Linked DNA regions of Nothobranchius furzeri. The protein of the gene in region 4 binds, or shares a complex with, the protein of the main gene of each other region. Links are inferred from orthologs where the notes say so. Each region holds a gene or a part of one and is shown on either strand. Other genes may lie near its edges.

Region 1 (4,918 bases), on a different chromosome or scaffold from region 4:
CTGAAGGTACAAAGATCTTACTGCATCTTTTGTATTTCGTCCTCATCGACCTTGTGGCGCTTCTCTTTTTTCTTCTCTGGCTCCACCTTCAGCCTCTTAGAAGCAGGCTGGCCAGAGGTTCCCTCATCCTCGTCGTCTCCTGCTGTCGTTTCCTTTGCAGAGGGAGAAAAACGTGGAGTGATGCTACAATCAGGCACAACTAAACCGCAGTGCCCAAACTGATAAATATTTGTTCAATTTTCCAGATTTCTGCACACACAACTCTTTCATCTACATTTTCACACAGGTTTAGAAAGTGAACCGTAGTGTTCAGTTACTACATTAGCTGCTTTTATACAAACACTGTTTGGGTTCTTAACACAGACTGTTCATTTTGGGGTAACGGGCCTTAGCAAAGTGTTTTGTTTGTACTTAAATTATCGTTTTTAGGTTTAACACAAAGATTGGAGAAGAGCAAAAAGTTCACAACAAATGGCTTAAAGGGTGATTTGGTTTAACCACCTGAACAAAAAATGTGTTCTCTGATGTTTTATGAAACCAGAAATCACATTTTATGCGACATGTACCAGATAGTGGGTTTTTGTTTAATGATGACCACAAAACTGATTTATTTATTAGAAAATATGTCCCGTAAGAGTCTAAGCAAACTACAAGTTTCTATCTGCTGTAAATATAAACACATAAAATATCCAGTTGTCCTATTATTAGTAATAATGTGTCCAGGATTAGATGCAGGGGATCAGGCCCAAACCATCACACCACCACCACAAATCTTCACTTTGATGTAACAAGATACCTACTTTGTTCATGCAAGCATAAACATTTACACACCTGAGAACACAGCTAAAATAAAGCTGATCTTAATTAAAACAGGTTTTAATGTAAGGAAACTTCAATTATGGCTCTTCTCTATAGATTCATGTTTTACTATTTAGAGCTATCAACTCCTGTCAATGTTTCCGCGCACCATTATGGTTAGCTTCACTCACAGCTTTAACCAGAGGTGTGGGCTGATCCTGCACGCTCGGTTCTTTATTTTCTTCTGTAGGTTTTTCTGAGACGAGTTCATTTTCAGGTTGATCCTTCCTAACTACTTCTTCATCGATAGCAGAAGCTGCCGTCTTCGGAAGAGAATCTTCTGTTTTGATCCGAGCAGGATCTGCCATCGTTTCTCGACGTCTCTCTACGATTCAGCCTCTGCAAACATAAAATGTTCTCAACATAAATTTATCTGGATAAATATAGACCAATTAACTGGTAAACAATCCAAATATGCTATTAATAAACTTGAAATCAAAATAAATGATACTCTGGTGAAAGATCCTCTTATCATAGCTACTGAAATGAATAAATACTTTGTTGACACAGTTCGAGATATAACTCAACAATTCACACCGTCTAACGGTGTTTTTGATCCTGTAAATCCTTGTCATGCTGTTTTCAGGATAGAAGAAATAACAGAAGTGGACAGCAACCAATCAAAGGCAAAGGATGTATATGGTCTCTCGACACCCATTTTTTAAAACTGCACAAAGATGCACTAATTCAGCCGGTAACTCATTTAATTATTCTATCGTTTAAACAAAATGTTGTGCCTTTAGCATGGAAGCTAGCTGCAGTCACGCCAATTGACGAAACTGAAATGGCCAATTATCGGCCCATCAGTATTCTCCCCACTATCTCCAAGGTTGCAGAAAAGTGGGTGGCAAAGCAACTGAATGCATATTTAAATTTTGGACACACATCCCTACATCCAATGCAATTCGGATTTCGTAACTGCCACTCCACAGAGACTGCAAATTGTGTCTTTGTGGAAAAAGTCAAAAGTCTCCTTGACAGGCATGCATGTGTAGGAGCTGTGTTCATAGACCTCAAGTAGGCTTTCGACACGTCGATCATCAAATTCTTCTAAACAAATTGAGTCATTTTAATTTCTCACCAGAGGCGCTGCTCTGGTTTCAGTCTTATCTGTGTGACAGAAAACAATATGTGTCCTTGTTTGGCAATAAATCCTCCTACATTAGTTGTCCAGTTGGAGTTCCCCAAGGCAGTATTCTGGGGCCGATTTTGTTTATCATTTATATTTATGATCTTCTCGAAGTATGTTCAAAAGTAAACATACAAATGTATGCAGATGATGCTGTTATTTTTACTGATACTAAACGTCCTCAGGAAGCCTCCCAATTGTTGACTGCAACCATGGCCCATGTACAAAAATGGGTCAAGAGTTCCCACTTAAAGCTGAACATAAAAAAAAACTGTTTGCATGTTTTTCACCAAAAAAAACAAACAATTGAACTAAAAAAAATCAAACATCTTTCTTGAAGGGGTAGAACTTGATATTGTCAAAGAATTCAAATATCTTGGGTTAACTTTGGACCCAACCTTAACTTTTAAGAATCACATTAAACAACTTTTAAAAAAAAACTGTCAATTATAATGTCATTTTTTTAACAAGTTAGACCTTTTTTCACTCCATGCTGCAAAGTTATTTTTACATTCTATGATTTTGTCTCACATGGAATAGTGTATAACCTCCTGGTCACTTGCTGCTGGTGCAACACTCAAACCCATAGAATCCCTTTTTTTAAAAGCCATAAAAATCCTTGATAAGAAATCATTTAGTTTCCACCACTGCTTTGTTTTAGATAAATATAGACTTCTTAATCTTAGTAACTTTGTTACCTTCAAGAATGCTTGCCTGTTTTTTAAGGTTTTACATGGACTAGCCCCTTTCCCACTGACAGATTGTAATAAATCGCGGTCTATCAGTGGAACGTCGACCAGGGCTACAGATAGAGGAGACTGTGAGGTGCCTTACAGACGCACTGCTTTTGGCCCGACCACACTATCCTAACTAAATATTGGACTAAATATTGGAATAGTCTACCACTCAGCATAGGTGACTCACAGTCATGCAGTTCCTTCAAATTCAAACAATGGCTGCAGGAAACCCAAACCCGTATCCATCAGTAATTTGTCCTCACCGTGGTGTTTTGTGTGTTTTCTTTCTGTTTTTCCTAGTTTTAAATACAATACTTTACTTTCTTTTATTGCTTTTATTACCCGCCTAGGGACTGCAGATGTAAATTAGCACTGGTGCTACAATCTGGCATATTTACCGATGCAATTTATTGTTGAAGTTCATTAATATGCACTGTCCCTATTAAATAAAGAAAGAAATGAAATTTACCGTTAAGGTGGATTTTCACGACAGAAATAACAGCATATACATACCTTCAAGCCAGAACGAGCTCAACGACACCACAGGAAGCAGCAACAAAACTAATTTAAACGTATTTTAGGTAGCCGTGAACAGAAAGTGGATTAAACATGATACATTTGTATAATATGTTAAAGCACACAACAAACGTGAAAAGCTAAGCTAGCGCTTCTTTCTTCTTCTTCTTCTTCTTCTTCTTCTTCCTTTTCTTCTTCGTGGGTTAATGGCGTTTGGAAAAAAAAAATGTTGTCGCCCCTTACCGCACTGGAGGGTAGCTGATGAGGCGAATTCATAAACTCTAGGGAATCTTGAACGTAAAATAGTGCTGTTCTGTTTATTGCCACCAGCATAGAGCTCATATTTTTCATTTAAGGAAAAAACAGACTTTGGAAGAAATTAGATAGTCTTTCTACTCAGGAAGTCTTTTACATGTATTAATCCAGATTTATTTCCTTCAAATCCTCCTCCTCCTTCTCTTTTGTTATGTCCCCGACAGGAGATGTTAAAATGTGAAGGAGGGGTAACATAAGAAATGCGACAGCGGGTTTAAAATGGCTTTAATTGTTATAAAAGGATCTACCTGGATAAGATGCCTGTGTGGAGCTTGCTTCAAACTCAGTTTTTCATTGGCTTTTTGTGAACGAAGAGGTAAATTGCTTTCCTCTAGTGGCGAAAAGCCGAAACTACACGTTGGTTCTGGTCATTTTTAGTCATTGGGTAAAACATCAGTAGAAAACATGTTAGCGTCCTTATATCAATGAGGCTAGAAACTGGAGTTTGAAGTAATTATCTTTAGGTAAGATAATACTTCTTTTTTACAAAACGTACTATCTCTTTAACAAACGTAAGCTAACGTGCAACAACAACGACGACCCAGCGCTGTGATTGGCTGGAATGAGCCGCGAGAAACGGAAAAGGAAGTGGTAGATGTTAGGGGAGGAGCTTAAGGTAGAACGGCCATGGCGGGATGCGTGAAAACGACACACTGTTGTTACAAGTCAGCAATAACCAAAGTTTTAGTCTTCGTTGTACTCTTTATCTGTTTACCCCAGTCTTCACTCCAGAGTACTGGTAAGAAGCTGTGTTACAAAGTGGGAAAATACACAGTCACTTACTTTATTGTGTTTTAACTCAGGCTAATCCAGCTAATTAGTGTTAGCTTGTTTCTTTCACAAAGTGAAACTGCTTGTGTGAGTTTAGTGGTGCTTCATACGTTCCTCTTTAATTCTGTTGGTTATACATGTAGTAGTTAACATCACCCCAATTCCCTTTTCGTACAATTCCTTTACATTTCACATGGATAAGCTATTAGTTGGGTTTATCCAAAAGATAAATCATTCTAACAATTAGCAGTAGATGATAATCTCACAGGATTATCCAGTCCAGAGACATGTCTGCTTGTGAAATCCAGGGAAAGCAGCCCAAATAATTGATCTGCAGGATGGAGAAGAGTTCACCATGTCAGGATCTAACCGGTTCTGCTACAGAAATGCTCTAGTGCCGACTTGGAGGCAAACTTGGACACGAATTCAGGTGAGTTTCTTGAACTATTATTGTATGTAACTTTTATTCTAACTGAAGTGATAAGATTCACTGATCCACTGAGTCCTGGCCAAGATGGCATCTAAAATAGTTTCAAAATAAAAGAAGACAGCAAACTACAGGGAAAGAGAGTTTCCAGATTTATACATCTCA
Region 2 (4,993 bases), on a different chromosome or scaffold from region 4:
AGGGCTATTCCAACCAATGCAGCAATCTGTCAGACAATAAATGGGCGTGGTTGTTCTTGGTTTCCAACACTTTGATTGGACAACTTTCAAGCTCTGGTGAGGAAGGCCAATGTGCATGGTTACAAATCACACAATGTAAACCAACCACTCAGACTTCAGTTTGTATGCTCATTGATGGGTTTTCCAAAACTATTTTCAGTGACTGTGCACTCACTAAACAGTTGTTTACTGTATGTGCTGCACATCATGTGTGATGTTACACGTATGGGGAGTGTTTGTTCAACTTCTCTTCCCCACAAACCCATGCCCTTTGACACAAACACGTGCTAATCTCTGTAAAAGGTGGCCTCATAAATATGCATGGTCTCTCCTCTGTTGTGGGAGGAAACGCGGCTTCGGCTGTATTTAAATGGGAAGTCTGCTCCAGCCTCTCCACCTGCGAATGCCTGATCGTGCCAAACACTTGGGAGAAATTCACATTTTTGACGTCTGCCTTAGAGTGAGTATCATTCATTAGCCAAATGTCTTTGTGATAATTGTTTTTTCCACAAAAGAACACTACATTAAACTATTATTTTTCTTCCAGCAGAATCATTGCATATCAGAAAATGGACAGCACCAACGAAATCATCCTTTTTGCCAAGGAAATGCTGAGACAGAAGCCCAGCTGGAGCATGCTTAAGATCTACATGCTCGGCTCGACTCTGGCGATGATCGGGATGGTCGGTGGTGTGGTGGAGATGATTCTCCAGCCCTTTTTAGACAATCACAGCCCAGGGGAAGAACAAGCAAAGTTCTACATCGAGATGAATAAGGAAAACAGTACGAGCAAATCAGACTCTGCCACAGTTCATGCCGAAGTTGAGGACATGATGGGAGCAGTATCGTTTGGAGCCAAGACTAAATATCTGGGGACATCTATCCAGAGAAGCTCAGCCAACCGCTTACATGCTTCTTAAAGAAACACTCCACACCACTTAAAAGGACAAAGATATACCAGTATTGTTGGTGGTGGTGGTGGTGGTAGCCTGCATTACCAAATCAAGCAGCTCATTTTTTATTCTTTAATTTATTTCAGATATGGTTAAATGTGTAGTTTTTCTTAGCTGGTGGCTAAAACTTAGCTGAAATGTTACAATAAAAACTGCAGGATACAGTTTAGTAATGCTGCTGGGCAGCAGGTTCCAATGGCTGACATGCACTGGGTGTCTATGGAGCTCATGAAATGCCATTCGTGTCATTCATTTTGTACTTAAATAAACATTTTTTCTGCTCGCAGAATTTTGGCCCTAATTTAAAGCGCCCACAGATTCAGATTTATTCGACTTTAACGGTAGAGGTTTAAGCTTTATGCATGAGGAGAATTTTATTGAGTAAAACAAAAAGTAATGTGTATTTAGCACTGTTCGCAGAAAAAATATCACCAAGGGCTTCACAAATAAAAACTGTAAACACCGCATACAACCTGTGTAAAAATGTGCTCGTAAAAACAAAAGAACATAAAATAAGGTATAAAAAAATTCTAACGTAATGTGTTTTCAGCTGTTTCTCAACACAATCTTTTCAATAAGAGCACAAGGACAGAGCTAAAGTGTGGGAGCCACTGCTCGAAAGGCCCGACCACCTCTGGTAACCAGTAAGCAGTAAAACTGGGGAGATGTGCGCCCTTACTGGTACGTTATGTCAGCAAATAGCCACTAGATGGCAGAGTGAAAGACTCTAATACTCAATTTCACTTCCGCAACAAAAGCGGAAATTACGTCATAGTATGAGCTGTGTTTACAATCGACGGTGAAGCGGTTTCTGGATAAGTAGAAATAGAAGAAGAATTGCATTTGTTAGAGAAGGAAACCTGGAGCTAACCTCTTATGGCGGATCCAGCGGTAGTATCGGGAGGGTCGCTGCCCTCCTGCGGGGTAAGAGATGCTTTTTAGGGCATTAGAACGCGCCAGCTAGCTTACAAGCGCCTCTCATCGCCACAGTTATTACTACTGTAAATAAACATGTTGGTCCTTGGCACGAGCAGTAGTATTTCGATAGATATTTACATTAAGCTAGCACCTTACAACGCCAGGGTTTGTGTGTGTGCTCTTTCAGCGTGGCGCTAAAGCGGCTTCCAGCGCCGCGGAGAACTACCAGCTGGCCCGCCGTCGCACCCTGCAGGTTGTTGTCAGCGCCCTGCTGACCGAGAGCGGCTTTGAGAGCGCAGAGAAGGCCGCGGTGGAGACGCTCACGGAGATGATGCAGAGCTGTAAGTGTTTACAAACAGTAGCTTCTGTCCGCTGAGCACGAGCTTCCAACACCAGGTTAAGGCTATTCAGATGAATGCATGTTTACGTCTAAACTTCACTTGATCTAATCAGTCTAGGTTAGTTTAAAGAGCAAGTCACCCCCAAATCAACTATTTTTTCTGATAAACTATATAAATGCGTGTCTAATCGTGCTGCAGACACGTGTGGTCAATAGTTTTGCACTTTAGTGCATTTTAGTTAAAATTTAAATTTTCTGCCTTAAACTGTCAGTGTTGTGCCGTTGTCAGGTAAAAACTCTTCACTGCATTTGAATTTAAATCTGCCACCGCTATTGGCTAAGAGGTATGCTATGATGTAAACTGGTACATTATGATGTCACAATGTCGTGCGTGTGTGTATTTGTTAGTGGCTCCACCCTCTCGGTCTGCTAGGCAACAGCATTTGTTGCATTTTTCAAACATGAAGTGGGAGTGGAGTACGCTTCTTGTAGGGGGTGACTTGCTCTTTAAAGAGCCTCCGTCCTCTATGTTTCAGCTGTTTCTGCTCCATCTGGGGCCCCATTTATAAACAAAACCGGGTCTGAAAACCGCGTGTGTCACTTTCCACGCACATTTATAAAGAAAACCTGACAGGAAAATGCGCACAACTTTAGGCAAACCCCTGTGGAGTCAGGGAAACTAGCAGCACAGCAGGTGAGATGACAAATGGTGAATTCAAGCCGCATTTGGACCCTCGTGTCTGCGCACGCACACACACAAACACACACAACCACAGTCAGCTCCCTCACCCGTCTCTGAATAAATAAAATGAGAACTTAATAAAAAATATGTCGCTGTTAAGAGATCACAATGTGTTCAAATGAACGTCTTCAACCGGAGTCACGTCCAGCGTTTAAAGAAGTTAAATAAGAACTAGTGACTGCAGGTTATGACTCTGAGAGCTTCTATCCACTACTGTGTTGTACGATTGGTGCTGGCCTTTGATGAGGTATTTGTTTGGTTGTTTAAAAGCGTGCCTGTAGAGTTTTTGAAATACTAATGGTATCATTTTCCTGTAAAGATATAAGTGAAATAGGTCGTTGTGCCAAAGCATACTGTGAACACACGGCCAGGAGCGTCCCAACCCTCTCTGACACGGTGGTCACACTCATTGAAATGGGTAAGACTGAAGGTGCATCAGCATGGTGACATGTTTTTTTTTTACTGTGAACACACTCCTAATCGGTGATTGTTTGTCCTTGGAAAGGTTTTAATGTCGACACTCTCCCCGTGTACGCCAAGCGGTCACAGAGGATGGTCATTACAGCTCGTAAGAAACAAAACCTGACATTTCTGCTGTTAGAGCTGTGATGATACCCTAGGATATCAAGTAACGAGTCACGGTTGTAGGCTAGTTTTAAGTTCTACATGTTTGTATTTCCTGATTTTTAGCTCCAGTCACGAACACACCAACAACACCTAAATCCCTGTCAGCTGGGCACAAGCGCACTCACCCACCTCATATTCCTAGCCACTTCCCAGAGTTTCCGGACCCTCATACCTACATCAAAACACCTGTAAGTTCATCAACATAATCTCCATAATAGCCCTATAAAACCACGTTCACCCCCATAGTGGGTGATGTTGCATAAACAGGTGTTTTGCGAGGCTCTCCTTCCTTCCCTCAGACATTCAGAGAGCCTGTGTCCGAGTACCAAGTGGTGAGAGAAAAGGCAGCGAACCAGAGGAGAGACGTAGAACGGGCCCTCACACGCTTCATGGCCAAAACTGGAGAAACTCAAAGCCTCTTCAAAGACGACGTCACGGCCTTCCCATGTGAGGGATCCCGACTGTACATTACCCGTCAGATTGTGTGTAACCCTGTGCATTAATACAGAATAACACATTGCTGTTGTTAGTGATCGCAGCTCGGCCAAGCACCATCCCATATCTGAGCGCCCTCCTGCCCTCGGAGCTGGAACTGCAGTCGCTGGAGGAGACGGACTCCTCTGAGCAGGACGACCAGACCGACAGCGAGAACACAGCTGGAAATATGGTGACAGTAAGTCTTCACAGCTGGGAATTGGTGCCAGGCGCAGTAGAGTAGTAGTAAAAATAACTTTTTGAAGGTGCCATTCTGAAGGTCTAAACTAAGAGGAACAGGGCAATAAAAAGCAGCACTTAGGATTGAAACAGAGAGAGTCGCAGCTACACTGCGGAGTGTGTTAGAACGGTTAGGAGTAATAGGAAGGATAAGGCGCTATCCAAAATAACACAAGAGCTCTTTATTGGTACTAGTGTGGTGTTAGTGGAGTAATCAACAGAGATACGTTTCTGCGATTAGCCAGGGATGGTTCAGTGTCCAGAAGAAGTTTGATCTGAAATGAACTTAAAACAGTTGGAGGCAAACCAGTCTCTGATTTCAGCAGCAGACCTGCCAACTTGTACGCAATCTGGCATCTATTTACGCTGGTACGACTCACCCCTCTAAACTACCTGAGTTGAGTTCTGTGGCGAATATGCACGTGTGGTACTCATGTCTGACTCAGCGGCGTGGTGAAGAAGTTTAAGCCAATCATCGTAGAGAAGCAGAGAAAAGCTATCCTGCCTAACCTAGCGTAACACCCCCGCCCCCCTCCTCCCTGCTTCGTCCTGCCCGCTGCTCCTCTCTCCTGTGTGTGTGTGTGTGTGTGTGTGTGTGTGTGTGTGTGTGTGTGTGTGTGTGTGTGTGTGTGTGTGTGTGTGTGTGTGTGTGTTTGTCTT
Region 3 (4,915 bases), on a different chromosome or scaffold from region 4:
TAAGATGGTGCTTGTCCATGTAAGGCCCTATAGACCAGAACCAGGATCTTGAAATGAACCCTGAAGTTGACTGGCAGCCAGTGAAGCTGGAGGAGAAGCGGGGTGATGTGGGTGTATTTGGAGGACTTGGTCAGAAGCCGAGCACAGGCAATCTGAACCACCTGTAGACGGTTCAGGGAGGTTCTGCTCAGACACGTGAAAAGAGAGTTACAGTAGTCTAAGCGTGAGGAGATGAAGGTGTGGAGAACTGTCTCAAGTTCAGAGCGGGACAGAATGGGACTCAGCTTAGCAATGTTCCTGAGATGGAAGAAGGAAGAGCCAACAAGAGAACTGACATGAGAATCCAGGGTGAGAGATGGGTCAAAGGTCACGCCAAGATTCCTGACGGAAGGTTTGGTGTGAGAAGCAAGCTGACCAAGAGAGTCTCTGACTTTGGGAACCAGCTTGTCTGGGGCACAGATGAGGATCTCAGTCTCATCTTCATTCAGCTGTAGAAAGCTCCCACCATCCAGGTTTTGATAGAGTCTAAGCAGGTGTGTAACAGCTGCAGCTTAGACATCTCATGGGGCTTAAAGGAGATGTACAGTTGGATGTCATCTGCATAAAGATGGTAGGAGATTCCTTTAAAGGAGCTCAGGATGTGCTGAAGAGGAATTGCTATTAAATGATGCTTAATTCACATTCAGCAATTGTTGTTTTGTTCCTGTTTAAGATAAGGAGTGGAAGTTTTCCTAGACAAAAACCTGCAGATGTGGCCTATTTAATCTATTATATGAACTCAATGGGCATTAAAAGGAAAAACTGGTAATAATTCTGGTTTCAGCAGCGTGAAAGTGAACTCTACAACCTGGTGTGAGGCACACTTGTAACATTTAATCACTATTGTATGTTTGCTTATGTCTTCAGGTAATCATTAGAGGTGCTGAAAAAAATCGATTCAAGTCTGAATCGAGATTCTTATTTATAAAGATTCAGAATCGATTCACAAAGATTCAGAATTGCTTCCAAGAACTCAAATATTTGGCATGTTACAGGTCTGAGATGCACTTTTTTGATCTTTGTTAGGAGAGTCAGTACTCTGTTTACTTTTGTGGTCCCATAAATTGAGATGATTTATGTTTGAATCTGCTGATAAGAGGGCACTTGAATGTATTTTTTTCCCATACAAAGAAATTTGAGATATTCTCATATTTATTTTCTAAGTTGATAAACGAGTACTCAGGATTACTCATGTAACTTGTTTCTACACATACTTGAAAAGTATTTGACCGTATTACTTTCAAAGCTACTGTTAGGTAACTACAGATTAGTTATATTTTACAAGGTAAGCAAAAATAAATGTTGCCTTTTGGTCAAAAGGTTGTTTCTGTTTACAGTTTTAGAATCACTTTAGTTTACCTTGTAAATTTGCATTTTTGGAGCATGACCAGTTTAAAGTCAAATAAAAATGTCCCATAGCTTTAACTAACTTGTACAACAAAGTAGTTTATCCTGGAGCTGACACTCTTTGTTAATACTGATTGTGAATCGATTTAAATTGAGAATTGAGAATCGAGAATCGATTCTGAAACGAATCAGCACCCCAAGAATCGGAATCGAATCAAATTGTGAGTTGCTCTAAGATTCACATCCCTAGTAATCATCTTGGTGGTTTTAACAGGAGGCGTATGATTTATGTATATCAAGTGTGACAAAAATATCAACAAACAGATCAAAAATATCAACAAACAGATCATTTAATCTTAAACTTACTTTAGAGTATTTGGGATTAATTTCATGTGTTGTTGCGTCAAACGGCTTGCCATACACTTTTGATCGTAGCGGATCGTAGTCAAAGCCGATGAATTTTAAGAAGGCGGGACTTGATTCGTGTCCATTGACGCTTGGTAGTACCGACCAATCTGAAGGCTCGATCTTGCGTAGTCGGTGGTTCCCGTTTTTCAATTTCGCACATGCGCAGTTCATTTTTAAAATGGCGGCCGTACAGGGTGGTATGGTCGACGCAAAAGACGAATTAGACATAAAATCCGAACCGCCGAGCGATGGCTTCGGAAACAGCAATGCAAACGACGGAAGGCTACTTTCCTCGTCCCCCGGAGCCGGTACCGGCGGTACCGCGACTGGAAACAACAAACCTGCCCCGGGACCACCTGAGGAGCAACAGACGCTGCTGGCAGTTCTGCAGTTCCTCAAAAAGAGCAAACTGGCGGAGTCCGCTGAAATCTTGCGTCGTGAGGCGGGACTGCCGGAGGATGCTCTGGACCCGAAGGGGACGGACGCCAGCGGGTCGGGACCGGGGCTCGCCGCGGGGAGCGGGCAAGTAGACGGCGTGGACGCCAGCTCTCTGCTCAGCCGGGTGACGGTGTCTTCCTCCGCCGCAGCGCAGGCGCCAAAGAAGGGTACAGTTTGATCCAGCTACGTGGAAGCGGACCGCATAGTTGTAGTTAAACACGTGATTTTAGTCACACATCACAATTAAGTCATCACACACTTTTACGGTTGGATAATTAAAACACGTGTTGTTGCAGATTCCAGCCTAGCTGCATGTTTTTACTCACTTTCCGCTTCTCCTGCTGGTTTATGCTTGGTCTCAGAAGTGGTGACTAGTTATTGTTTTTTGCATCTCATGAAGTTTTTTCTCTTTGTCCTGTATGGATGACGTGGTGTCCAGCAGCAGCTGGGGAGGACCAGCCAGATGTGAGCGTGGTGCTGTCAGCTTACAGCCAGCAGGGAGATCCTTCTCTGTATGACGCCTACTACAGCGGCCTCAAGAGGTTCATAGAGTCCGTTTTGGACTGTCACCGCGCGGAGCTGTCCCAGCTCTTCTACCCGCTGTTTGTCCACATGTACCTGGAGCTGGTGTACAACAACAATGAAAGCGTGGCCAAGGCCTTCTTTGAAAAGTAGGTCTCTTTATCCTCCAGCCACATTCTGCAGATCTTCTTCTGTAAATTCCCTGTTTTATTTATCTTCCCAGGTTCAGTGGAGACCAGGAGTGCTACTACGAACAGGACCTACGTATTCTCTCCAGCTTGACGAAGAAGGAGCACATGAAAGGCAACGAGACGCTGCTGGACTTCCGCACCAGTAAGTTTGTCCTACGGATCTCCCGAGACTCGTACCAGCTGCTCAAGAGACATTTACAGGAGCGGCAGAACAACCAGATATGGAATATTATCCAAGAGCACCTGTACATCGACATCTTCGATGGGATGCCGCGCAGCAAGAGCCAGATCGATGCAATGTCGGGCAGCCTGGCAGGAGAGGCCAGACGAGAAGCCAATAAGGCTAAGGTGGGTTGAACAAACCCAAGATGAGGCCAGGTCTCCATTTTAACGGAGAGACCCGTTGAAGCACGTTTTACTTTATCTGGCGTAGGTTTTTTACGGCCTGCTGAAGGAGCCAGAAATTGAGCTGCCCCTTGACGATGAGGATGAAGAGGCCGAGAACGAGGAGGGTAAACCCAAGAAGAAAAAGCCCAAAAAGGATAGCATGGGCTCCAAAAGCAAGAAGCAGGATCCAAACGCTCCTTTACAAACCAGGTGTGGGTTGGTCACGCAACAACTTACCACGTTCCTCCCGCTGATCCAAACGTACACCAATGGAGGAAATCCTTTGTTTGTTTTTCTGCTGTTCAGGATACCTCTCCCAGAGCTGAAGGACTCTGATAAGCTTGACAAGATCATGTACATGAAGGAGTCCACCAAGAGGATCCGTTTGGGGTCCGACAACCTCCCGTCCATCTGCTTCTACACTTTCCTCAACGCGTACCAGGTAAACGAGCACTAACCAGTAGGGTTGATCAAAGCTAAAGGTTTTGTGGCGATGTAAGCTGCAGCTGATGCTGCTCGACCTCCACAGGGTCTGACCGCCGTGGACGTCACCGACGACTCCAGCCTGATCGCAGGTGGTTTTGCTGATTCCACGGTTCGGGTGTGGAGCGTCACGCCGAAGAAGCTCCGCAAGGTCAAGTCTGCAGCAGGTAGAGCGCGCGGCCGAATAATCGCCTCTTTAGAAGTTCTGCAGATGTTTGGAGTTAAAATCCTGTGTTCTTTGTCTTTTTTTAGATTTGAATCTGATTGACAAAGAGTCAGACGACGTTCTGGAGAGGATCATGGACGAGAAGACGGCCAGCGAGTTGAAGATTCTTTACGGACACAGCGGGCCGGTGTACGGCATCAGCTTCAGCCCAGACAGGTAGTACCCACAATGCAACATGACCATGTTAGCCCACTCATGGTTTTACGCTAATCAAAGATTCTGAGAACAGCATTTTGTGACAAACTGTCGTCGTCTTCCTCCGCTTATCCGGGTCACGGGTCAGCATCCCAACTAGGGAGCTCCAGACCGTCCTCTCCCCGGCCTTCTCCACCAGCTCCTCCGGCAGGACCCCAAGGCGTTCCCGGACCAGATTGGAGATGTAACCTCTCCAACGTGTCCTGGGTCGACCCGAGGGCCTCCTGCCGGCAGGACATGCCCGAAACACCTCCCATTTTGTGACGAACTGAACCCGTAGAAATGTGACAAAACTGAATTAAAGGGGACATTAAACTAGGGCTGCAACAAACGATTATTTGGATAATCGATTAATCGGATGGGGTCTCGACACGATTAATCGATTAATCGGATTACATGGGGGAATTTTTAAAAACTGCTAGGGAAACGTTATTTCTCTCCTTCCTTCACTTTATTAAACACAACATTATTAGAAAACAGTTCAATAGCAGAAAAACAACATGCCATCACCTAAATTGTCTTATAAGGTGTATAGACAGAGACCCTAAGCTACATCTATCTGTGACCTAAAATGCTTGGTCCAAGTTAAACAGCTTAAGGGCAATTCTCATCTGTTTTGTTTGATCTCATCTGTTGACATTTATTTTAAATGTAATTAAACATAGACTGTGAATTAATC
Region 4 (4,244 bases):
CCCTACTCCCTGGTTTAATGACAGCCTTCACAGTCTAAAGCGCCAATGCAGAAAAGTTGAGCGCTTGTGGAAGAAAACACATCTCCACGTCCATCTGCTGCACCTAAAGGATCTTCTGACATCCGTTAGCTCTGCAGTCAGAGACACTATTTCTCCAACCTGGTGTCCCAGAGCAAAGGGAACCCCAAGGTGCGGTTTAACACCATCAGCAGCATCGTCTTTCCTGCCTCTCCTACAGCCTCCATCCACTCTGTTGCAGACTGTGAGATCTTTCTGTCTTTCTTTGTGGACAGTCAATAAGGTCAGATCTAGCATCTCTCCTTCAGCCTTATCGCTGCCTCTCCCAACTCCAACCAGGCCCATCATCCTAGATAGCTTTGCTCCTGTTTCTGTGCCTGAGTTAACCAAACTAGTTAACTCTATGAAGACCTCTGCATGCCCCCTCGACATCTTACCCTCATCTTTGTTTTAAAGTGCTTTTCAGTCCAACAGTCCCAGCGTGCTCTCCATTATTAATGCTTCTCTGGTTTCTGGTCAGGTCCCTGCTTACTTTAAGAATGCTGTAATCCACCCGCTTCTTAAAAAACCGAGTCTTGACCCCTCTCTCCATAGCAGCTTCAGACCCATCTCTAAACTTCCGTTCATCTCCAAGATCTTGGAAAAGGTTGTGGCTAAACAACTCACAGCTGCTCTATTAAAACCTGGATGGCTGGGAGCTTTCTACAGCTGAATGAAGATCGTTGTCGTCTTCCTCCGCTTATCCGGGTCGCGGGGCAGCATCCCAACTAGGGAGCTCCAGACCGTCCTCTCCCCAACCACCTCCACCAGTTCCTCCGGCAGGACCCCAAGGCGTTCCCGGACCAGATTGGAGATGTAACCTCTCCAACGTGTCCTGGGTCGACCCGGGGGCCTCCTGCCGGCAGGACATGCCGAAGCACCTCCCCAAGGAGGCGTCCAGGAAGCATCCTGACCAGAAGCCCATACCACCCTTGTTCTTAAAATTTAATGATTTTGACATGTCAGTTCCAACATAATCACCTACAAATGATTCTCTTTTGACTGATGTTACATGGGAGACAATCCTGACTTGTCTTTTTTATGATGGGTATCAAATAAGCCACAATTCCTTTTGTAAGAATGATTGTATTGTTTAATACACAAATTACTTTATTTCAGATATTCAGAGAAATTATGTATTTTCTGCAGCTCTAACATCCAACTACAACATGTTTTAACTCTTACCCAGAGGTTTTCCCTAAACTATTTCTATACAGGGATTCAGTATTTTAGTCTTCACAGTTTATTTCTTCATGGTGACTTTTGGTTTTACGCAAGAGACTTCAGCTGTAAAATGTTGCTGCAAAGAAAACCAAGTAGACTTGAGTCATATGTACACTTTTATTGGGTGGAAAAGAAAACAATGGACCAAACTTCTTCGAGTCTGCTGGGAGGACAGAAATCAGACAGAAGAGACAAAGATGGAGACTGAACATGTCACTAAATAAACCAGACTTTTAACTAGTTGCCATAAACGTCACTAGCTGACCGTATAACACATAAGACCACCAGCAATGACTTCAATGTGATCCTACTTGAGTTTTAATTTTAGACAAAGGCCAAACAGCCAAAATTCTGCTGATTTGAAACAACCAAAAACATTTTTAAAACTATACTGCATGGGTTTGAAATTAATATTAATCATAAGAGCTTTTTTTCCCTTATATCAATATTGAGCCTACTGAAATCCCGCTGAAGAGCTGCATCGACTTTAAGATTGGCATCACTTCTCATTCTAATTACAGAAGAACATATACACACATTCAAGTTTAACCATTAAACACTTTCTTCCTGTAACCACAACAAACCAGTTCTCTCTTTCAACAGAAAGATTGTTTCACGACTTCAACCAGACAAAGTCGAAAGTTATCAAACGCCTCTAAACAACTTAACTGTTTAGCAGCAGCAAACATTCATGGACAACTTGGCCAGTCAAATAAAGATTAGCTCAGCTTGAGTTAATGGGCGTCTACTCCCAATGAGTGTAAAAAAAAAGTCATTAATCAGGATTATTTTCTACCTTAAGGGAGTAAGCATAGGATTTAAAATCCCAAGTATCATGTACAGCAGGGGATTTAAAGAGAGGTCAACAAATGCTAACAGCTGAGAGTATAAAAGTATTTAAAACAGCTTCACATAAAACCAGCAGTCCTAGTCGTCGAACTGCTTTTCTGCTCAACAACACTTTACATTTTTTACAGTCATATGTACAGTTGGGGATGAGATGGGACAACAAAAACCTGCAACCACAGGACACAATAAACATGGTCAGAGTGAAAGAACAACCTTTAAAATGATGATTAAAAAAATTGAAGACAGAAAGATGGATGAAAAAACTCCCAACACCTGCATCAGTCTACCTTCTCATTAAAAATGTGACATTAAATAATGAATGAAATAAGAGGATCAGGTTTCAGGAGGTGGAAAAGAAACCCCAGGTCCTACGTCGTTTTGCGGAAACCTTTCAGAATGGGGTAAATGTTTTCAAATGCTTCGTAAATCTCTGATCTCACTTTGGCCCCTTCAGGAAAAACAAAAAAGATTGAAACATGGATCAGTATCAAGATGAATCTAGAAAACTTACAGAATCTCTTGTTCTATTTTAAATAAAAAAATTACAATCCTTTCAAAATAAAAGGAGATCCAAAACAATGTGCCAAATTATTAGGTGATACTTTAACTAGAATCTAAAAATACACCCGTCTGAGAGCTCGGGCCTTACCTGTGAGCACTACTTTCCCAGAAACAAAGATGAGCAAGACGATTCTGGGTTTGATCATTCTGTAAATCAGTCCTGGAAACAGCTCCGGTTCATAGCTACAAAACACAAGTTAGACTTTCACAATTATATGAATTTTAAATTAAAAAAATGTACCATTTTTAATTAAATCTTTGCAAACATTAGCGATGCTCAGATCAGGTTTTTTGCTGCTTATGGATTGGCCATAAATGTATCAATGCTGTTATTATACTTGCTACATGATCTGGAATAAAGGAGCAATAATATTGCCCAATTTTGACAAAATCATTTTACAAAATACAAGACTTGTCAGTGTGTTTCTGACCAGAACTTATAAGCCTTCTACTATTTTCAGTTCAACTCAAGATGATCATGTCCAGGATGACAGAGAAGCTTCCCCTTGTGCTTAGGGCTGTAGCGAAGCCTCGACTACGTCGACGGCTCGATTCTAAAAATTTGTCGACGTCAGATCCGGAAGTCGACGCACCGCGCCCACTTGTTGCATCCCCAGGAGTTTGTAAATAGAGGAGGAATCTGCCTGTTTTTCCTCTAGTTCGCCCTCTTCTCCGCCTTCACTAACATCTCCGCCAAATACCGAAGACCCGGAACAATGTCCGTCCACTACTAGATTATTTTCCTGTTTTGCCCGCCTTCGTCTCCCGGCAACGGACAACAACTTCCGGGGTCAGATGCGCTGCTCCGTCTCTATCGCAGATGTAGAAAATCACCGGGAGCGTTTCTCCCTTCATAAAGGAGCTTCTTTCAGACATTAGGAGAGCTGTTTTGGTGGTAGCAGTCTCTCCTCCGTGCTGGTCTGTTTGCTGCTGGGTGTTTTGGTTTATTTAAACTTGGTAACTTGAACTTAACGTTGGTAAAGCTACTGTTAGCATCTTCGCTAACAGCTTCTTGCGTTGGGATAAGCTGTTACGTTTTGGTTTAGAGTTAATCTTTTTTGTGGTGTAGATCTCCCTTTTATTACATTTAGAGTGTTGTGGGTTTTCGGTTTAGTGTAAAATATCACCTTGAGTTTGGTTTAACCCGTAAGACCACTCGCCTCACGCACATAAGTGACCAAAACAAAGCAGCGTGGAGACACTCCATCTTCTACCACCTCTCAGGCAGCAGCCTGCACTCCCAAGTTCTACACGTCACCAGAACATAACCAACCGCAACACAATAAAAGCAGTGTTATACAAAATGGAAGGCCTGTAGTGTTTATTCTCTTACAGTAACAATTTATCAATTTTTTTGAGGAATTTATTTGAGATTTTCTGGTTTTTGTTAATTGTGCAATAGAAAAATAATCATTAGATTAATTTTCTAAATAGTCATTAGAATAGTCGACTATTCGATAAAATAATCGTCAGAATAATCGTTTTAAAAATAATCGTTTACCCCCAGCCCTACTTGTGCTGTATTTTTGTTACAGGATGCAAAGTTTAGATCA
Region 5 (5,130 bases), on a different chromosome or scaffold from region 4:
CTATAAGAATGAAGAACACAAAAGGTCTTTCTGTGAGACAGAAAGAAAGTAGTTAAAAAACATTAATGATAATTTATTTAAGATGTTATGCCCTGAATGACTTTGCAAGGTTGTTAGCTAATCATTTTCAGACATTTCCATGAATGCTTAATGAAAAATATCCCAGCAGATGGATGAAAACAAAACTTTATGTGAACAGGGTGCAGCCACCATTGCTAGAGGTATTGTACGAAACCCCATTTGAGCTAACTGTATCAGAAATGTAGGGGATTTCTTTTGTGCTTTTTACATGATATACAATGGAACTTATTTGAGTCAGGAACAGCAGCAGCTCAGGAGGTAGAGTGGATTGTCCAGCAATCGGAAGGTTGTAGGTTCGATCCCAGCTCCCACTGGAGAATGTTGCTGTTGTGTCCTTGGGCAAGACGCCTAACCCGACTTACCTGCTGGTATCGGTCAGAGGGACCAGTGACACCAGTGCATGACAGGCCTCACCTCTGTCAGTGCGCCCCAGGGCAGCTGTGGCTACACTGTAGCTCATCCCCACCAGCATGTGAATGACTGCTTGTGTTGTGAAGTGCCTTGAGAGGTTATATTCCTTTTTTTATTCATTTATTTTTCATGTTTGTATGTATTGTTATCTTTTGTCATTTTATCTGACTGTAAAGAAGTTGACTTTAACAGAAAAAAGATGCCAGAAAGCAAGACGGAAAAAAAGACCCCTATGGCGCTATATAGTACAGGCCATTTATGAAATTGATCGTTTTAATAAAATGTTATACCTATGCAAATTGATTTTATAATATGTCCAAATAAAGTCTGTTTTTTTTTCTTTTGTATTAGCTTTAGTAGTTTTACAAAAATGTTTAGTTTTTGTAGTTTTTTTAAATGCAGATGCATACTTGCTGTTAAACAGAAGCATTTTGTTAGAATATACATTTAATTAATTAACGAATGAGAAACAGCTGCTTCAGTTAGGGTCAAGAACTTTTTTTACGAACATGAACAGGTGTGTGAAGTACAGTTTCAGAGAAACATGCCTATCCACTTTGTTAGATCTCAACAAATACATTTGTTATTTATTGTGTACATATTTTAGTAGTTGTGTTTTCTACTTTCCACCAACGCCACAAAAAATATTTTGTGGCGTTGGTGTGATGTCACAAAAAAGTCACAGTCCAGGTTTTTTTTCTTAGATGTTTATATTGTTTATTTTTTCACCTACCGGTGACTCCGCCATATTGATTAACGTGAACAGTGACCGGTGTACTGCTTTGTTTATTTATTTATTTTTTAATTATTATTCCTGAACAAAGACATAACAGAACAAGGTACGACATTAAGGTACAAACTCTCATGGAGGATGTAAGCTTAAAAACAGGCTAGGGGCTTATCAAAGAAAAGGAAAATGTTTATGTTTATTCATTTAGCAGACGCTTTTATCCAAAGCGACTATTACAATTTATAACCTATATGGCATGTTGTGATCTGTGGGGGAAACCGGAGGAAACCCACGCATGCATGGGGAGAACACGCAACTCCACGCAGAAAGACCACAGCCGAGTTTCGAACCTGCAACCTTCGTGCTGCAAAATAACATAAAAAACAAAGGAGCATGATTTACAAAGGAAACTCAAAACAGTTCTCAGTTATTTGCCGTGAGATAATTCTCGCATTTTTTCCATTTTACTTAATGAAGAGTAGAATAATTTAAATTCGTTCAAGAAGCATGGAAATGAGGGCTTGGTACCCCTCCGCTTATTGCAATGGATGTGATATTTGGCAAACAAAACAACAGTCCAGGTGGCAGCACTGCGCTGGTTTGTAGCAGTGAAAAAGAAACTCGTCGCACAGTGATGACGCACATCTAGCGGCGACAAAAAGCTTTTTTCCCTAAACACTTTTTGTTCGGTCTTCTACCATGGACGGAAGTTATCAACAGAAAAATCTGTTAGAAAAACTTTAGTTTCTTTTGTTTCGATTAAATACTTTCGAGATGGCATCAGGTTTGTTTTGCTTATTGTCTCACTACGTTCTTTTGATGCAATATATTACTGTTGTTTCAAGTCTGCAGAATGGTGTTTTATACATTCATTTCTTCAGAGGGAGAAATCAGTCTCCTGGTGGTTGTGGTGGACGTGAATCCGATCTGGTGGGGCCAGCATGCTCAGAGCGAGCCGGAGGTGACAGACTATTTATTTATTTATATGCAGTGTCACTAAAATCACATTTTGACAATATGTAGTAAGGATATATAATCTTTTTAAGTCAGACAAACGGATTATGGTTTATTAATATTAAATCAGGATATTTTATAATTGTGACAAGATCTAATACATGGGATAAGTTCTTCTCTCCTATTTGAGTCACCAAATATTATTTGAATGAATCTTTTCTATAATTTACATCAGTTACTACTTTAGAAATGTGTTGGATTACAAAAATACTTTGATTACCAACATCTCATATTACACATTCCATCCATCCATTCATTCTCTTCCGCTTATTCGGAGTCGGGTCGTGGGGGCAGCAGCCCAAGCAGAGAGGCCCAGACTTCCACTTCCCAGCCACTTGGCCCAGCTCCTCTGGGGAATCCTAAGGCATTCCCTGGCCAGCCGAGAGACATATTCCCTCCAGCATGTTCTGGGTCTGGACGTACCCAGAAACTAGAGGTGCTGAAAAAACCCGATTCAAGTCTGAATCGGGATTCTTATTTATAAAGATTCAGAATCGATTCCAAGAACTCAAATATTTGGCATGTTACAGGTTTGAGATGCAATTTTTTGATCTTTGATAGGAGAGTCAGTACTCCGTTTACTTTTGTGGTCCCATAAATTGAGATGATTTATGTTTGAATCTGCTGATAAGAGGGCACTTGAATGTAATTTTTTCCATACTCAGAAATTTGAGATATTCTCTTATTTATTTTCTAAGTTGATAAATGAGTACTCAGGATTACTCATGTAACTTTTTCTACACATACTTGAAAAGTATTTGACCATATTACTTTCAAAGCTACTGTTAGGTAACTACAGATTTGTTATATTTTACAAGGTAAGCAAAAATAAATGTTGCCTTTTGGTCAAAAGATTGTTTCTGTTTACAGTTTTAGAATCACTTTATTTTACATTGTAAATTTGCGTTTTTGGAGCATGACCAGTTTAAAGTCAAATAAAAATGTCCCATAGCTTTAACTAACTTGTACAACAAAGTAGTTCATCCTGGCGCTGACATGCTTTGTTAATACTGATTGTGAATCGATTTAATTTGAGAATCCAGAATCGAATCGGCACCCCAAGAATCAGAATTGAATCAAATAGTGAGTTGCTCTAAGATTCACATCCCTGCCAGAAACCCTCACCAGGAGGCATCCTAACCAGATGCCTGAGCCACCTAAACTGGCTCCTCTCGATGGGGAGGAGCAGCGGATCTACTTCGAGCCCCTCCTGGATGATTGAGCTTCTCACCCTATCTCAAAGGGAGAGCCCAGACACCCAGCAGAGAAAACTCATTTTGGCCGCTTGTATCCATGATCTCGTTCTTTCGGTCACTACCTAAAGCTTGTGACCAGAGGTGAGGGTAGGGACGTAGATCGACTGTAAATCGAGAGCTTTGCCTTCCGGCTCAGCTCTCTCTTCACCACGACAGATCGGCACAATGCCCACATCACTGCAGATGCAGCACCAATCCGCCTGTCAGTGTCCTGATCCATCTTTCTCTCACTCATAAACAAGAACCTGAGATACTTAAACTCCTCCACTTGGGGCAGGACCTCATCCCTGACCCAGAGAAGGCATTCTATCCTTTCCTGACTCAAGACCATGGTCTCGGATTTAGAGGAGTGATGAAAAAATATATATATATATTTATGTTTGTTTTTTCTTTTTCTTTTTTAAAGTTCACTTTGTCCAAGTGTCTGGATGCAGTCATGGTGATGGGAAACGCACACATGGCTATGACCAGGACTAACCAGCTGGCTGTCATCGCTGCTCACTGCCAGGACAGGTAACTTTATACTTCATGGAATAACTTTTCCTATAGTTTCCAGATTTGAGCAAAACTTGACTGTTTTACATTTGCTTGATAGATCCCAATTAACCTACAAGTTCATGTAGGTTAACAAAAGGTCAACATTGAAATGTCCATAAATGCATCCAGAGGTTAAATTCCATTTGCATTTCTTCCTCTCAGTCACTTCCTGTATCCAAGTAAACGTTTGAAAGGGAACGATGATACGTCTTCCAGCAGGGATGGAAAATATGAGCTCCTATCTGTCACCAACAACCTCATCGCTGAAGAGATCAGGGATATCATGTCCAAGAGTAGGTGCAAGTCTGTGTGACGTAGGGAAGAATTTGGAGTAAATAGATGACTAAATACTTTTTTTTGCAGCGGAATTGACGGGAAATTCGACTGATACTCTTCTGGCTGGATCCCTTGCCAAAGCTCTGTGCTGTATCCTTTTAAAAACCGTCGTCTTCCTCCGCTTATCTGGGTCCGGGTCGCGGGGGCAGCATCCCAACTAGGGAGCTCCAAACTGTCCTCTCCCCGGCCTTCTCCACCAGCTCCTCCGGCAGGTCTGCCACCCGATCCACACTGCACCGGATCCTTCATGTTGCTCCTGCGGGTGGTGGGTCTACAGTTGGATGAGCCCATGTATCCGGTTCGGGCTGGGCCCGGCCGGGCCCCATGGGCGGAAGCCCGGCCACCAGGCGCTCGCTCACGGGCCCCAACCCCAGGCCTGGCTCCAGGGTGGGACCCCGGTAACCCTCAGGGCCGGGTGACTCTTTGATTGTACATCCATGAAAGATCCTCTGAACCGTTCTTTGTCTCACCCTTCACCTAAGACCAATTTGTCATGGGAGACCCTACCAGGGGCACAAAGTGCCCCAGACAGCATAGCTCCTAGGATCATAGGGCACTCAAACTCTTCCAAGGTGACGGTTCAAGGAGGAGCTTTTAAAAATCATCTTATATAATTAGTTTATTTCTCATTCAACCAGGACTTTGTTGGTCAAGGCTGATTTATTTCTTTTTGCAGAGCTCGGTGTGATTGAATTGTTCTGTAACATTTCCTTCCATCTAGAACTATCCAGATATCAACAGGATTTCAAAAGAGGTGGGAGGTAA
Region 6 (3,048 bases), on a different chromosome or scaffold from region 4:
ACAGTTAAGAAAAAAACTCGTGTTTTTCTAACTTACTGTTATTGGCTCTTGTTCTCTGATTGGCTCTTGTTCTGATTGGCTCTTGTTCTCTCATTGGCTCTTGTTCTGATTGGCTCTTGTTCTCTGATTGGCTCTTGTTCTCTGATTGGCTCTTGTTCTCTGATTGGCTCTTGTTCTCTGATTGAGTAACATCACTGGATCAAGCCTTTCATACATTCCGCACTACGAAACAGGTGAACGTTTGTGTGAACACTGCTGATATCGTATCGGTATCGGTCAATTATGAAGGCTGCGATATCTATCGCATCGGAGGCCCCCGGGTCGACCCAGGACACGTTGGAGAGGTTACATCTCCAATCTGGTCCGGGAACGCCTTGGGGTCCTGCCGGAGGAGCTGGTGGACAAGGCCAGGGAGAGGACGGCCTGGAGCTCCCTAGTTGGGATGCTGCCCCCGCGACCCGGACCCGGATAAGCGGAGGAAGACGACGACAGTGAAGTGAAAACGTTTTATCAGAACATCCCTAACAGAATTATTCTGAGACTGGTGAAACCCTGTCCAGATGCCTCACTGGCTGCCAGTCAACTTCAGGGTTCATTTCAAGATCCTGGTTCTGGTCTATAGGGCCTTACATGGACAAGCACCATCTTACATTGGTGATCTTCTTAGTCCCTACACCCCCAGCAGGTCCCTGAGGTCCAGTGATCAAAGCCTACTGGTTGTGCAGCACCAGGCTAAAGGTCAAAGGTGACAGATCATCAGACTGACCTCTCTCCCTCTGAGCCTGAATCAGTGGACTCAGTGGTCTCCTGAAAAACACTTAATCGAGCAGTAGAGGGCGATAAAGTCCTCTGCTGCTCGCAGATAAACGGGAGCGATGCCACCGACATCGATGCTGGCTCTGATGGAGCGGATGCCAAAATGTCAGCTAAGGTAAAAACAAGCTCCTCCTACTCGGTTTGACAAAGAACCAAAGAAATGGAGTCACCAAGTGTTTCATGCGGGCTGAACATGAAAATAGTCTCCTACACCTATCTCCTGCTTTCTGATAGAAAACAGACGGTGAAACTCTGGGATCAGAAAATCCTGACAGATCTACGTCACGCCGTCACTAACGTTCATGGACTTCACCCGTCTAGACCCGCAACGGGGGAGGCTGTTGTTGGTTTAGTCCAGAGAACATCTCCGCTGGTAGAAGCGAACTGTTAGCGACTCCACCACAAAGCAGAACTTCTCTAGGGTTGTTGTAGAGCTAAAACATCCACATTTCAAGTCAATGGTAAAGGCGTGCTGCTGTCATCCAATCAAAGAGCAGATGTGTAAATATGAGGAAGTAAGACACCAGACGCTGCCGTCCGGAGCTCGGCTGTGATGCTTCCCCTGTTCACCAGACATCATATCTGCTGTTCGCGGTTCTTCGTTTGCAGCTTGGTTGTACAGTGTACATGGAACACACACACACACACGCACACACACACACACACACACACACACACACACACACACACACCTGTGTACATCTCTGTACACTAAAAAGAACGTAAAACTTTTCCGAGTTTTGATGGAAATAGAAAAATGAGCATTAGGAGGGCAGAATGGGAACCTGTTCCCTCAGTCTGGTGAACTATTCTCAGTCATTAAACCAAACCCGACCCAGCACGGTGGAACAAGTCACACAGGAGGGCAGGGCTTAGGGACCGTCTACAAAGTGCATCAACCTGCTACTAAAACTGGATTAATCCTGACTGCTCGTGTGTGTGTGTGTGTGTGTGTGTGTGTGTGTGTGCGTGTGTGTGCGTGTGTGTGTGTGTGTGTGTGTGTGCGTGTGTGTGCGTGTGTGTGCGTGTGTGTGTGTGTGTGTGTGTGTGTGTGCGTGTGTGTGCGTGTGTGTGCGTGTGTGTGTGTGTGTGTGTGTGTGCGTGCGTGTGTGTGTGTGTGTGTGTGCGTGTGTGTGTGTGCGTGTGTGTGCGTGTGTGTGTGTGTGTGTGTGTGTGTGTGCGTGTGTGTGTGTGTGCATGTGTGTGTGTGTGTGTGTGTGCGTTATCACCTTTCTGAGTCTTCTTCTCTGCAGAGGCCTGAGAGGCCATGTAGATGGCTGCAGCAGCCACTGAGATGGGGCTCCTGCCGGGTACCAGGTCGAGCTCCACAGCTTTCCTGGCGATGAAGGTGGCAGCCATTTGCACCTGCTTGGGCAGGCCCAGGTTGGAGCAGAATCGGGACATGAAATCACCGGTGGTGATCAGGTCCACACTGGTCTCCAGAGCCTTCAGGATCAGCTTGAAGCACCTACCTATCTCCTTCTTTGAGATCCGAGAGACGGCGCAGATCTCTGCAGAACAACACATTTCAGTGACAGGGTCACGTCTCCAGCAGGCCGCTGTGAGCAGCACTAATGAAACGTTTTAGAGACATTAACACCTGAGAACTTGCAGCAGGAAACCTTCACCCCTGAGAAGATCAGGTCCCCAAACTAAATGCATCCCAACTCTCATTTAACGAGGGATGTCTGGACACCTGAAGAGGAAATAAGTATTTATCTGACCTTTAAAGGTTCTGGGCACCCCCTCCTGTCTGCAGGCGATGTAGAGGCAGGCGGAGGCGATGGCGTCGTTGGCTCGGCCCTTCAGACTCTTCTGCTCGTAAACCTGCTTGAACAGGTTGTTTGTTCTGTCCTGGAGAGGAGAGCCACACAGCGTGTCAGCTGGATGTTCACCTCTACAGGTGTTTAAAATCACAAACATCGTTCTGTTGGGTGAAAAACCAAGTTGATCAACTTTTCAGTGTTTAATAACTCAGATGATGTCACTCGTCTGCAGCTTCAACAAAAATCTAGCTCATTTGTGTCACTGACGGCGTGACGTAGGAGGGGCAGGACAGCTGAGTCGGTCACCACAGCGTTAGCGTAAAGCTCACAAAAGCATCAAAATCAGTCCAAATGATGAAAGTTTATTCATGTGGAGGTCGTTCCAACTCCCGTCTGTCTGGACAGCACTTCATGGACTTCCATTTGGAGCGTGGGTGAGGTTTGTCCAGGTTGGACGGCAAGATTT
Region 7 (3,503 bases), on a different chromosome or scaffold from region 4:
TTAAAGGTTTCTGAAAAACACTCTGATTGGTTGTACTTCAACACTTGATGGCTGTTGACGCACACTTCAAAGGAAGCGTTTAGATCCTTTGAAGTGTTCTGTGGAAATGTTATGAGCGATTAACTGTAGATATATCTTTGAATGGCATAACTGGTTAGTTCTGATTGAACAGATGAGTGAACATTATTACAAAATGCTTTAACCCTTTGATGCATGAATTATGAAATCTTCAACCATGATTTTTTTCATTCGTCTTTAGGTGTGAATGAAACAAATTTCAACAAATATATATTTTTTTTATAATTTACAAATAATTTATTACATGTCCACCTCAGTGGGCAGCGTGCATTCTGAGCATGAAACATGTTGGCTTGACTTACTGAAGTCCAAATGGAGGGGCTCAAATGCCATCAAGTCTTCAACAGCTGTGCTTTGTGCAAAAACAAATAAATAACAATTTTGAGTACCTGTCCACTGTAGTGACCATTATGCATCAAAGGGTTAACACTCACAATTATGAAATCCCAGCCAGATGTGCCACAGCAGGTCATCTCTTCTGCAGACAGCAACAAAGTTAGGAAACTAACGACATACGGGTACATTTAAGGTGTAAAAACTCTAATTTTAAACTGCAGAAACACCTGATATACCACAAAAGTCTCTCCAATCCAAACAGCAGGAAAGATAATGAAATGTTAATTTATTCACGCAGTTTCCATGGAAACACTTAAAAAAACCTTAACAATCCTTTCCAACACGTTGGCAGAAAGTTTCATTCTTCAATGTAAATAACAGATGTTGGTTTTCCTGTTGGTGTTGGGACTTATTTGAAACAAACTAACTTTATTTGAGAGTTTCCGATGACTTGACAGTGTAAACATGTCATTAAAACAGTCAGTTCTGTTATTCAAGTGAGAACCACTAAAAAATACACAAACCAGTTAGCAGGAAGCGACAAACAAACGCGAGTTCATTAGGAGCCGTAATTGGCTTCATCAAAAGCTTTCCGGGCTCTCTTCAGCTCCTCGTTCATGGTCAGGAGGTCTTTGACTCTGGCGAACTTTCTGGGATCCTTGCGAATTAGAAAAACGATGTCCTCCACCTGGACGCGGCCCTGGCGCCCGATAGACATGGCTTTGTGGGTCATTTCCGTGATGAACTCGATCACCAGATCCTCCAGAATATCCACAGACTCCGTGTACGGGTTCTGGTCGTCTCCAAACCCGTACATCATGCACCGGAGCTCCTTAGAGAAGAGTCTCTTTCTCCTGCCGTGGCCGACATCCACTCCGCTGGACCCGTCCTCCAACTCCTCCTCGAAGCCAGCCTCGTCCTCCTCGTCCGCCATTAATTCTGGAGGAAAACGCCGATAAAACGAGCCTTAACGACGCTTTACTGTAAGATAAACCTCACACTTACAACATGCAAACATCAAAATGCGTTTTAGAGAACAAAAATTACATTTTACTTTGAAAACTGGATCACAACAATCCCCAGACTCTTCTACGTTCGTTGTTGTTCTTCTTCTTTGGTATTTTTGGGCTTCAGCGTTTGACACGCCAACTTCAAATTGCATGACCGCCACCTACTGGACTGAGTTTGAAACGTCAGCGCAGATCTAATCTTTTGAATAAATTCTTGTTTAAAATCGAGATTGAAACGAGTCACAAATAAATAAATAAATAAACAAAATAAATTAATAAATATTAGAGCCATGAGAGTCACACTGACAGGCTGAATTCAACAAACGGAAAAAATAACGACTTCATATGTATATTAGGTTTATTTCAGATCTGCATCTATTCCAATTGTTTTCTTGAGTGTTTTTGTTTCTACTTAGCCAAACTATATCATGAATGATAATGAAGTTGAAGCTTTTTGGCGGTTTTTGTTTTCTGCTTCTCTAACCCAGCATGCATTTGTGAATAATGTGTCAACCTCCGTTGAAGGCGTAGAAGAAGAAACATAGCGGAAAGAAACACTAGCTCAAATATCTAGTGCCTTATTTTCTTTCTTTCTGTGCTCAGACGTGTACACAAGATCAGAACCGGTAAGAACTACACTAGAGTCGCTGGTTAGCTACTAAATGTTTCTATGTTAATGTTGTTAAAACGTTTAGAGATCCGAAAGTTGCGTTAGCTTAGCTGTCAGCTAACGGCTAAAGATAGCAACTGCTTGGTTGTGATGATTCTTCACAAGCCATCTGGTAAACCGGACACACTTTATATTATATCTAGATGTAAAGTAGGATGTGTGTGCTACGCCGTTCATCTCCACATGTCTCGTTAGCTGTTAGCTGTGTAGGCTAACGCTGTGGCTGTGGTAACACAGTCTTAATGACTTTTTGGTTTAATTTTATAGCATCTTCCAAATCCAAATCGCATGGTTCTTGGTCAGAATTATAATAAAGGTAAATAAAATACAATTTAACGCTCCTAGAAGTGAAGGGTTTTATTTACAACTCTCCTTAGTTGAGAACTTTATTTTAAAAAATAGTTTATTTTTAAGTTACATTAACAAGTCATGGCTGTCTGCTAGAGCTTGTTAAAGCTAGACCGGATGTGTCTTTCAGGTGTATAGGGTGAGGTCCCCCAGTCATTTCAGATAATCTAAGTTGAATTATATCTCACATATTTACATTATCTGTTGTAGATAAGGATGTTCTGTTGAATCCGAATAACATATCTCATATGTTTGTTGTTTTTCCCCTTAGGTCCTTATTCTAGTGAACCATTATGGGTGGTGTGGTGGGGTGCAGAGGTATTTTGGAGATGCTCCCTCTGCATTAACAGTCCATTCTGGACAGCTGGTCCTGGAAGTCCCGGATGGCGTGCCCAGTTCAGTTCCTCTTCAGAGGTCTTTGCACTATTGGACTGGTCCTCCTCTACTATGTCTTCTCTATAGGCATCACATTCTATAACAAATGGCTAATGAAGGTAAATGAGACCCATTCCCTTTCCCAGAGTGTTACTTTATTAGAGCTTCTTATTTGTTTCTTGATTGGTGCCCATCTTAATCCATATTATGTCTGTCTCCTGGAGTTATGGTTGCCATTTTTTTTTCCCAACAGCGGTTCTCGTTAATCCTGTCTACTATTTCATCTCACTCAGGGCTTCCATTATCCTCTGTTCATGACACTGGTTCATCTCGTCATCATCTTCTGTCTATCTTGTGTGACACGATGGGCCGTGCAGTGCTGGACAGGCAAACCTCGCGTCATCCTGAGCTGGAGAGACTACATCTTTAAGGTGGCTCCAACAGGTACATGGACTCAAATCCTTTGACTGTTATTCTGGGATTCAGAAAAGTGGGTGAAGGTCAAACATGAACAGATTGTCTCTATAGTGTTAAGCTGCAATAAACAAATAACCACAGACTAATATTGTCTGATTTTTCCACATTTATCAAAAGTGGGACTTCTTTCTAACAAAAAATGTGTGTATTTTCAGCATTTAACAGATGTCTTTACCTCTTAGAAAAATGTCTCTCACATCCTCACACTC

Evidence for each region.
Region 1: tbp (region 4) and taf11 share a complex: the UniProt entries of both Homo sapiens proteins name them as parts of the TFIID basal transcription factor complex. The link is inferred for Nothobranchius furzeri from reciprocal best matches to the Homo sapiens genes TBP and TAF11.
Region 2: tbp (region 4) and taf8 share a complex: the UniProt entries of both Homo sapiens proteins name them as parts of the TFIID basal transcription factor complex. The link is inferred for Nothobranchius furzeri from reciprocal best matches to the Homo sapiens genes TBP and TAF8.
Region 3: tbp (region 4) and taf5 share a complex: the UniProt entries of both Homo sapiens proteins name them as parts of the TFIID basal transcription factor complex. The link is inferred for Nothobranchius furzeri from reciprocal best matches to the Homo sapiens genes TBP and TAF5.
Region 5: tbp (region 4) and gtf2h3 share a complex: the UniProt entries of both Homo sapiens proteins name them as parts of the TFIID-containing RNA polymerase II pre-initiation complex. The link is inferred for Nothobranchius furzeri from reciprocal best matches to the Homo sapiens genes TBP and GTF2H3.
Region 6: tbp (region 4) and gtf2b share a complex: the UniProt entries of both Homo sapiens proteins name them as parts of the TFIID-containing RNA polymerase II pre-initiation complex. The link is inferred for Nothobranchius furzeri from reciprocal best matches to the Homo sapiens genes TBP and GTF2B.
Region 7: tbp (region 4) and taf13 share a complex: the UniProt entries of both Homo sapiens proteins name them as parts of the TFIID basal transcription factor complex. The link is inferred for Nothobranchius furzeri from reciprocal best matches to the Homo sapiens genes TBP and TAF13.

The regions. Positions count from the first base shown.
Region 1 is NC_091755.1:54,208,219-54,213,136, forward strand, and holds the start of taf11 (transcription initiation factor TFIID subunit 11), read right to left. Parts: upstream 3,428-4,918; 5' UTR 3,238-3,427; intron 1,198-3,237; 5' UTR 1,167-1,197; coding exon 990-1,166; intron 153-989; coding exon 22-152; intron 1-21. Other genes in the region: nemp1 (nuclear envelope integral membrane protein 1), read left to right, coding at 4,183-4,294, 4,635-4,756. UniProt on the Homo sapiens protein: The TFIID basal transcription factor complex plays a major role in the initiation of RNA polymerase II (Pol II)-dependent transcription.
Region 2 is NC_091755.1:40,694,734-40,699,726, forward strand, and holds the start of taf8 (transcription initiation factor TFIID subunit 8), read left to right. Parts: upstream 1-1,740; 5' UTR 1,741-1,868; coding exon 1,869-1,916; intron 1,917-2,097; coding exon 2,098-2,251; intron 2,252-3,311; coding exon 3,312-3,410; intron 3,411-3,497; coding exon 3,498-3,560; intron 3,561-3,682; coding exon 3,683-3,807; intron 3,808-3,918; coding exon 3,919-4,066; intron 4,067-4,149; coding exon 4,150-4,292; intron 4,293-4,993. Other genes in the region: g0s2 (G0/G1 switch protein 2), read left to right, coding at 357-499, 587-959. UniProt on the Homo sapiens protein: The TFIID basal transcription factor complex plays a major role in the initiation of RNA polymerase II (Pol II)-dependent transcription.
Region 3 is NC_091746.1:23,735,534-23,740,448, forward strand, and holds the start of taf5 (transcription initiation factor TFIID subunit 5), read left to right. Parts: upstream 1-1,912; 5' UTR 1,913-1,972; coding exon 1,973-2,399; intron 2,400-2,671; coding exon 2,672-2,903; intron 2,904-2,977; coding exon 2,978-3,293; intron 3,294-3,378; coding exon 3,379-3,542; intron 3,543-3,638; coding exon 3,639-3,774; intron 3,775-3,861; coding exon 3,862-3,982; intron 3,983-4,067; coding exon 4,068-4,197; intron 4,198-4,915. UniProt on the Homo sapiens protein: The TFIID basal transcription factor complex plays a major role in the initiation of RNA polymerase II (Pol II)-dependent transcription.
Region 4 is NC_091749.1:35,004,844-35,009,087, reverse strand, and holds the end of tbp (TATA-box-binding protein), read right to left. Parts: intron 2,875-4,244; coding exon 2,780-2,874; intron 2,579-2,779; coding exon 2,499-2,578; 3' UTR 1,385-2,498; downstream 1-1,384. UniProt on the Homo sapiens protein: The TFIID basal transcription factor complex plays a major role in the initiation of RNA polymerase II (Pol II)-dependent transcription.
Region 5 is NC_091757.1:46,814,282-46,819,411, reverse strand, and holds the start of gtf2h3 (general transcription factor IIH subunit 3), read left to right. Parts: upstream 1-1,850; 5' UTR 1,851-1,996; coding exon 1,997-2,006; intron 2,007-2,103; coding exon 2,104-2,183; intron 2,184-3,898; coding exon 3,899-4,005; intron 4,006-4,191; coding exon 4,192-4,322; intron 4,323-4,392; coding exon 4,393-4,455; intron 4,456-5,096; coding exon 5,097-5,126; intron 5,127-5,130. UniProt on the Homo sapiens protein: Component of the general transcription and DNA repair factor IIH (TFIIH) core complex, which is involved in general and transcription-coupled nucleotide excision repair (NER) of damaged DNA and, when complexed to CAK, in RNA transcription by RNA polymerase II.
Region 6 is NC_091751.1:71,401,164-71,404,211, forward strand, and holds part of gtf2b (transcription initiation factor IIB), read right to left. Parts: intron 2,671-3,048; coding exon 2,541-2,670; intron 2,328-2,540; coding exon 2,046-2,327; intron 1-2,045. UniProt on the Homo sapiens protein: General transcription factor that plays a role in transcription initiation by RNA polymerase II (Pol II). Involved in the pre-initiation complex (PIC) formation and Pol II recruitment at promoter DNA.
Region 7 is NC_091755.1:48,193,372-48,196,874, reverse strand, and holds taf13 (transcription initiation factor TFIID subunit 13), read right to left. Parts: upstream 1,584-3,503; 5' UTR 1,469-1,583; exon of another isoform or gene 1,462-1,468; intron 1,396-1,461; 5' UTR 1,349-1,395; coding exon 974-1,348; 3' UTR 684-973; downstream 1-683. Other genes in the region: slc35c2 (solute carrier family 35 member C2), read left to right, coding at 2,826-2,936, 3,111-3,261. UniProt on the Homo sapiens protein: The TFIID basal transcription factor complex plays a major role in the initiation of RNA polymerase II (Pol II)-dependent transcription.